2 linked regions of the Bombyx mori genome follow. The protein of the gene in region 2 interacts with the protein of the main gene of each other region in a pairwise test. Links are inferred from orthologs where the notes say so. Each region holds a gene or a part of one and is shown on either strand. Other genes may lie near its edges.

Region 1 (4,316 bases), on a different chromosome or scaffold from region 2:
GGCTGCACTAAAAGTATCGGGAATGGAATATTTCCACTGTTCCTGTCATATTAAAATATTTTTAATTGAAAACTCCTTGGTTTTAAAAATCGAATACCATTTATTTATTTAAAAAAAGATTCTCGGTCTTGTCACGAGGTTTTGTCAAACTTGTTTAGTCGTTGAGAAAATGGAATTGACTCGAGAAAATTCAAGAGCGATGATTTATTATGACTTTCGAAGTGGTTTAACACAAAAACAGTGTGTTGACCGGATGATTTCTGCATTTGGTGATGAAGCCCCATCCAAAACCCCATTTTAGCGCTGGTTTGCTGAGTTTCAACGTGGACGTGTCAAGCTTAGTGATGATCCCCGTCAAGGTCGTCCAAAAACTGCAGTCACCCAAGAAAACGTTGATGCTGTGCGTAAGCTGATTGAGGAAGATCGACATATGACATACCGCGAAATTCAGGCAACTTTAGACATTGGCATGAGTCAAATACAAATAATCTTGCATGAACAATTAGGTGTAAAAAAGTTGTTTTCCCGATGGATACCGCATTCGCTCTGTGAAGAGCAAAAAGCGGCTCGCGTTACTTTGTGCGTCAGAACTCTCGAAAGATTCCACGCAGGATCCTCAAATGCTGTATACAACATTGTATCAGGTGACGAATCCTGGATATACGCGTACGAACCCGAAACAAAAAACCAGTCACAAGTTTGGGTGTTCGAAAATGAGTTAAAGCCAACAAAAATTGTTCGTTCACGGAGTGTTGCAAAAAAAAAAGGTGGCCACGTTTGTCTCCAAAACCGGCCATGTTACGACTATTCCTCTTGAGGGACAAAGAACGGTTAATGCAGATTGGTATGCTAGTATTTGTTTGCCACAAGTCGTTTCTGAACTCCGTAAAGAGAACTGCAACCGCCGCATCATCCTCCATCACGACAATGAGAGTTCTCACACCGCGCACAGAACAAAAGAGTTTTTAGCAAGAAAACATAGAATTATTAGACCATCCGCCGTACAGCCCCGACCTAAGCCCTAATGATTTCTATACTTTCCCTAAAATAAAGAATAAATTGCGTGGACAGAGATTTTCATCACCTGAAGAAGCTGTGGACGCCTACAAAACGGCCATTTTAGAGACCCCAACTTCTGAATGGAATGGTTGCTTCAATGATTGGTTCCGTCGTATGGAAAAATGTGTCAAATTTCGCGGAGAATACTTCGAAAAGCAATAAATACATTTTTAAATAGTAATGTTGTCACTTCGTTAATTCCCGAAATTTTCAGTGCCGCCCTCGTTTAATATACACCTACTGTCAATTTCATTCGTTTTATTCATCGTCATAGACAATTTGTACCTACACTGAATTCAACAGTCAACTGAGTCAACTTTGCGTTTCATTCTCTAATATATTAAGTGTATAATCTATGCGTTTCATCATTTGTCTCAAAAGGTTCGTAACGTTAAGAATTTTCTTCTACAATTAAGTAAGTAGAAATGCTTTCCATAAAAAGATAGAGTTCTTAATAAATTCAGATATTTCAAGGATTAGGTTAAAATGGTATGATAAATATGTAACAATTTTCAGGAAAACGTAAAAACCTATTGGCGTTCCCGGCACAACGCACCAACGACATGGCTTCTACTCAAGAAGAAATTCTTCCTGAAGGATGGGAAGCTCGCAAGAGTAGAAGTACAGGTAAATTATGCGTTTGCAATTAATACCTATTATGTTTCTTTTGTTAAAATAACATAAACGATTAATCAAATTTCTAATCAATCAACCTAAATCAATAGAATGTTATTGATTTCTAAGATAAAATGGCAGACATTGAGTGTAAAATGTTGGTAGGTAGATTTATATTTCTCGGATCGATATCGAAACAACGAAGACCATCTATGTGTTTATATAAATTTCATTGAGAAATTGTTTTGATTATTATATAGTGATTACTAAAAACTACTTTCAAACGTTTTTATTTTTGAAGTGCTTCAGTGAGTTTTTATTAACACTATTTACTGTTGATTCGGCGTCTTACGAGCCCGCGCTGTAGGAACCACCAGCCTGCCTATTCTTGTTAAGTAGCTATTCCTTTTTGGTTTGTAGGGTGGGGCAGTCATACAATTGACATCGAGACTTGCACCTCGTGTGTGATGTGTGGCGCTGTTTACATTATGATATTTGATGAGCTCTGCAATGTTTGCAGTGGAAACCATTTAACATTAGTGTGTGTTTTTTAATGTTCTCCATAGCATATAAAAATTAACTCAAATTTGTATGCAGTTGGAACAACGCCCCTAGCGGCAAACGTAGGCAAAGTTTCCAACTCCATACAAACTTAAGTTAACTTTTACGCCATCGAGAATGTTATAAAACTCGCGTTAAGCACAAAGATTGACTGTGAGCTTGTCGACACATATATACATACACATAAAAAAGTATAAAAGAACTGGTTCACAATATTAAATATTCAATTTAAGGTTTTGGGTATCACAGCCATAGTTAAAAAAATAATATAAAAAGCTGTTGGCATAAATTTGACTATGCGACTATTATGTAATATTTTATAATAAATACTTATTTTACCTGTTTAATTTTGTATTCACATTTTACAATTTTAACTGTCTGAAAAATTATTATATATTGTATTGTTTTAATCCCTACCAGTTTATAATTATTGTAATTGGTATCAACAATGATGCACTTGTAACAGCAGATAAATAGTTGTGACCAATTCAAATGGTCATCTGGTCTTTGGCTGGGATTGCTTTTGCTATTGGAACCAGAAACTATAGATTATCCCTTTCTGGCTGAGCCTGTGCTCGCCCACCTGTCCTGGTGAAATTGGAAGGGCTCCAGGCCACCAGTATTACTTCCCAAAAAAGCTATAAATTACATATTTTTTCTTTTTTTTTATAAGTCGATTAAAGCTAACAGATCAGTACATAATTATACACTAAAATTTTATACTTCCCATACAATTTTCTTAAAAACAAATCCATGATACAAATATAAAGGGTTGAAATAAGTAATGGGAATAATGCCGTAAATAATGCACTTTACCAACGTGGTATACTTTACCATCATAGTAATAACTTGGACTGCCCAAACTGTGAAATCTATACTAATATTATAAAGATGAAGAATTTTTATATTTGTTTGAATATTCTAATCTCAGGACTTATTGGACTTAATTAAAAAAATGTTTCAGTGTTTAGCCCATTTATTGAGGAAGACTATAGGCTATATAACGTCACATTAAGACCAATACAAGTGCAACACTAATAAACAATGTTTCAAAAACGGGGTGTTTTCCTTTTGAGAGGTTCTGCTGGTTAAAGTTAGCCAAATGAATGAATGACAGAATTGTTATCTTTAAAAGTTCTGAAATAGTCTACGGTAGCATAATAATGTGTCCATATTTTAAGGTTGGCTCACTATAACCTTTTTTATGTCAACAAAATTCTAAAATGAAGCATTCTTTGTGAAGGTGTTATTATAAAGATAATATTAATCCTTATCTGTATCCTTATTATCCTTAACACCTATCCATACAATCTTCTTATGTATTAGTGAGAATTTGTCCTGTTCACTGACAGGATGGACTAACATGTGAGTCAATTTTATGCTGAAATTTAATAGTTGATTCATTTTAGGAATGACATACTATCTCAATAAGCATACAAAAAAGTCTCAATGGGAAAAACCGGGTGGACCAGCTTCTGATGATGATGATGAAGATGATGATGATGAGGGTGGTATTCCCAAGGAGGTAAGATGCAGCCACTTGCTTGTAAAACACAGTGGAAGCCGCCGACCATCCTCATGGCGTGAAGAGCATATTACACGTACTAAGGAGGAAGCTCTTGATATATTACAAGGCAAGATATTGAATTAATATAAATTTTATTTATTCCCATCATCAACGGCAAATACAAAATAAGAATCAAATAATTTCTTTAAAAAATAAAATATCTATTAAGTTTAAACTTAATTGCTTTAAAAAAACACTTGTCTGTTCACTGTTGGAAGATTATTCTCAATGCATAATGCAAAATACAAATTAAATACATAGTAAAATATAGCTTTTTTTCTCTGTGCAAAATTAAGTCACTAAAAATAACATTTGAAAGTATTATTATTTTCAGAGTATCGCCGTAAAATCATTGACAGAGAAGCTAAATTTGAAGAGCTGGCAAGTACATATTCTGATTGTTCATCAGCAAAACGTGATGGGGATTTGGGTCGTTTCAAGAAAGGTCAAATGCAGAAACCATTTGAAGACGTCGCATTTTCCTTGAAAATAGGACAATTGAGCCAACCAGTTC
Region 2 (4,144 bases):
GGTCACGGGGCAGCACCTCAAGCTCGTGCATGGTGAGGTCGGAAACAAGCACGACCCTGTGCGGTTCGACGCGCACTATGAGGCCTGTGTCGCCCTCGTAACGCCCAGCCACCACTTTCACGTGATCACCCATTTTGAAGTACTTGCGCAACTCATTCGGATGGAAGACAATTGGGTCCTTAAGACCATCGTGTTTTGGCATGACAGTGATCATCGAACCGTCGATAGCAGTGATGCGGGCCTGCAAGTTCGCAAGATCTCCAGTACAGACTTCCACATTGTCACCCATGGAGAAGGAATGCAAGCCGGCAGGGTCGTCCTTGGCGGGAGCAGCCAACTCAATATCGATACCTTCCGGTTGCTCTTCAAATCTTTCCAACTCTGTAAGTGAAGGCTTGACACCTTCTGACAGTATCGCCGACATTGTAAAGTTTTTATACAGAAATCCTTTCCTAGAGTACCTATTGCCCTCAAATATGAGGAAATCACCATCGGAAGTAACTTCTCCACCGATCGCTCGGATTGCCTCTGGATCAAAGGGTTTAGCAGGAGGCCTTCTCTTTTTCTTTCGCTTTGCTGCTTCACTATCGCTCTGTACTGTTCTTAAAGCTCCTCTCAGTCTTGTATAATCTATTCTAGGAAGTAGTTTCAAATGCACTTGATTCTGTGCCAAGTCTACATAGTCAACTTGAGCAATATCATCTTTGTATAAACCTCGTTTTAATCTGACCCATTGTTTCGGTTTAAGTCCTGATTGCTTTTTGACTACTCTGAGAACATCAGTCATTTCCTTAATAGGCACCATTTCTTGTTTCCACACTCCAGACTTAAGGGTTCCCACTTTGTCTATAATGTTTTTAACATGTGTCTGCTTGAAAGCCTCTATGTACACATAGCCTTTGACTCCTTCTGGTGCTACAACTGACTTTATCAAAAAAGGTTCTTCCGAGAATTGGAAAGCAATAAATTTTCGCATCAAAAGTAAAACAGTAGCCTTCTCTTCTCCAATCCTACATCTGACCATCCACAAATTTGGATCCTTGATACCGGGTAGTAGAGTTTGCTGAGTTATTTCATCAGACATCTCTTCTCCACCTTCACCAAAGTGTCTGAGGGCTGCTGATTCATCTGCATACTTATTTCGAAGATATTCTTCAATCTCCTCCTCTTTCTGTGAATCCCAAAGGTTAGTGCCTCTTCTTCGACCTTCAATTTCTCTAGCTGTTGGCCCAATTTCATCTACTTCATTTCCTACAATACCCATTTCTTGGGCTCCCTCTTCCCATTCGTCATCTTCATCAACTTCATCATCCACCTACAAGATAAAGTTATTTCAATTTATTTTATATACTTAGTACTTTTTATGCTCTTTCAAGAACTCACTATATGATTTACTATTCACTATTACTCGTATTACTCACTATTTGATACAGTATCTTCAATTACTCATTTTATTGAAGTTTTGAGCTAATGAGTGCAATTTGTGATGTCTATGAGCCCTACAGGGCTTGAGGCCTGAACAGTAATACAGAAATTTGACAGCCAATATATGGCAACAAAAATAACATACAATAGTTGACATAGGAATATGATCGGCTATGTTAGCCACAGCACAGCCACATCACACTGTGACAGTTATAAACGGAGTTTGAAGTGGTCGCCGTGGCCAAAATCAACTAAGGTAGTAAGAGAGTAGTAGTAGTAGCAGTGACTTAAAACACTGTTTATGAAATAGTAAATCTTCAATCGTTCATCTTAGCTCTAAGGCTTATGTTGAATTATGATTTTTGTGTGAATAGGCAGGCACACTATGTAGCAATGTTCTAAATTATATTGTCACAGTTAGCTAAATTATAACTAATAACACAGCTTTAATCTGCATTATTCACGGATACAGTGTGTGGTAAAATTATATATACAATAATGCAGAAAAGTCCACATCAAATGAAAAGTAGCATTAATTAATCACACTTTATATATGAAAATGACAAAAAAAAAATTTCTTTAAACTTTTCTTTGTAATCTCGTTTTTTATATTAACCTCAAATTTCGTAGCATAGACAAATGAAAACCAATTTCAATTGCATACCTCAGCTTCGTCAATAATGAATCCACCATAACGACTGTCCTTTTTTCTTTTCTTCCTCAGCCTCTCCTCTTCTTCGTCTTCTTCATACTCCTCAGAATCAACCAAATCCTCACCTTCGGGCTCTTGTTCATCCTGTTGATACAGTTTCATAAAATATTGTATAGCCCAAACAGAAAGTTATCTACAATTTCAATATTAAATGTTATTTATGCGTTACCTCCACTTCTTCATCGCCAGATGCTTCTTTGGCTTCATCATCTCTATTTTTACTTGCATCTGAACCTACTGAACGACTTCTGTGAAACAAAACAACCCTCATAAAGTCAAGTGAAAAGATACACGGAAAACTTATTATTTACTTAGACTACCCGGATTTTACCTAGAGCGAGACCTAGATCGTGAGCGGGATGGAGTCCTAGAGGGGCTACGGCTTCCAGAACGCGACCTGGACCTTGATCGAGAGATAGAACGCGATCTTGCCGACCGATTCGATGCAGCGCTGCGATGTGATTGTTTTGATACAGCACTGCCTGCCTCGGACCCACTCCCCGAATAGTTACTACCTTCCGAATCCGACATTACTACTTAAAACGAATGCATTCGAACCATTTAGGTAATATTTACTAAACTTATTTCTTTAAAACGAACACGCAACAAACGTCACGAAACAGTGTGACCCATAGATTATACTTTTATAGTGTGACCATTGAGAAAATAGATAATCTGCCCTAGGTTAACTGATTATCTACCCTCGCCGCGAAGAAAAAACCACAAAATATGCTAGGTACCTATTTTTTGCACTTCTCAAACCATTTCTGATTAAAATAAAACGCAATTCTAATTAAAAAATTGTTTTCTGCTATAAATTAAGGCCAAATTTACAAAAAAAACTCTCATTGCATTTTAATCCCATGTCTATAATTTTTTTCTTTATAAATGTAAATCATTCAGTCATGTTCCTTTTAGACCTTATTTCGGTGTACTAACGGTAGGAATACGTCTATTTAAAATTCTATTCCACAAACTTATTTTTGTTCATGTTACCTTGATAAACTAATAATACGAGTAAAGTGCGCAACACGTTTGTCACCAACAGTTTTAAACTGCTATTGCAAAAAAAATGTTATTGTCTTTTTTAAGTGAAAGCTTCTTTATCATCGTTGTGATTCGAAAGTCGATGAACAGAAAAAGCGATAGTAGAAAGAGACAGACACTTAAATTTTTAAGATTTAACGTGGGAGAAAATGAAGTAGCATTAGTGTTTCTTAAATTCGTGGTTCTCTTTGTGCTCTGCTTCGTACCTAATATTCGTACTTAATACATATTGAATAAATCTATGTAATTTAAACGAATAAAGTGTAAAATAAATATCAAACTTTGTATCACTATGAACATTACTATTTTAAAACATACATAATTATCCTCTCCCTGAAATTTTACATTAACTTGAAGCCAAAATTTTTGAAGATTTCACTTCTACCACGTGTGAGTTACACGCATAATATATGTTTTTAAAGCTAAATGAGTATATGTATGGAGTTTTAGAAGGGCCTTCAAATTTGATCCACAAAAAAATTTGCACTCTTTTAACTTGCACTAGTTTAAGTTTTCGTTATTTTGTGTTCAACTTAAAAACTTCTTTTTATTCGCCGAAAATTCTAAGCTTTATAATTTTAGAAGAAGAGCTACTTTATTTGATCCCAAATCTAACAAATTTTGCATATAAAAATTTCCATTCCGGGACGGCTAGGCTGGCAGATGTAAAGCATTGATATAATTTTGTATGGGTATAGATGCAAGGATATTATAAGACAGAAAATCCATGTGGAATAATGAAAAAGAAAACATTAATATTAAGAAACTGTTGCTTGCACATGACGACTCGTCATAGAGATGTTTCACAGTAAAACCACAAACTTCTCTTTTCGCGTTCCTGTCAGAATAATTATGTTACTAAAACTGATGGCTTACTTTTGTGTTTTATCAGACCAAACAAAAAAAAACAGATCTAAAAGTATTGACTCTAAGTTCTCTCCTATAATCAAGCATGCTTCG

Evidence for each region. The genes of interacting proteins can lie anywhere in the genome.
Region 1: the proteins of transcription elongation factor SPT5 (region 2) and rotamase Pin1 interact in binary tests that used the Homo sapiens proteins (3 or more experiments, as listed by UniProt). The link is inferred for Bombyx mori from reciprocal best matches to the Homo sapiens genes SUPT5H and PIN1.

The regions. Positions count from the first base shown.
Region 1 is NC_085107.1:9,297,254-9,301,569, forward strand, and holds the start of rotamase Pin1, read left to right. Parts: upstream 1-1,415; 5' UTR 1,416-1,474; intron 1,475-1,575; 5' UTR 1,576-1,622; coding exon 1,623-1,686; intron 1,687-3,644; coding exon 3,645-3,869; intron 3,870-4,136; coding exon 4,137-4,316. UniProt on the Homo sapiens protein: Peptidyl-prolyl cis/trans isomerase (PPIase) that binds to and isomerizes specific phosphorylated Ser/Thr-Pro (pSer/Thr-Pro) motifs.
Region 2 is NC_085110.1:18,085,763-18,089,906, forward strand, and holds the start of transcription elongation factor SPT5, read right to left. Parts: upstream 2,829-4,144; 5' UTR 2,669-2,828; coding exon 2,469-2,668; intron 2,386-2,468; coding exon 2,307-2,385; intron 2,222-2,306; coding exon 2,090-2,221; intron 1,316-2,089; coding exon 1-1,315. UniProt on the Homo sapiens protein: Component of the DRB sensitivity-inducing factor complex (DSIF complex), which regulates mRNA processing and transcription elongation by RNA polymerase II.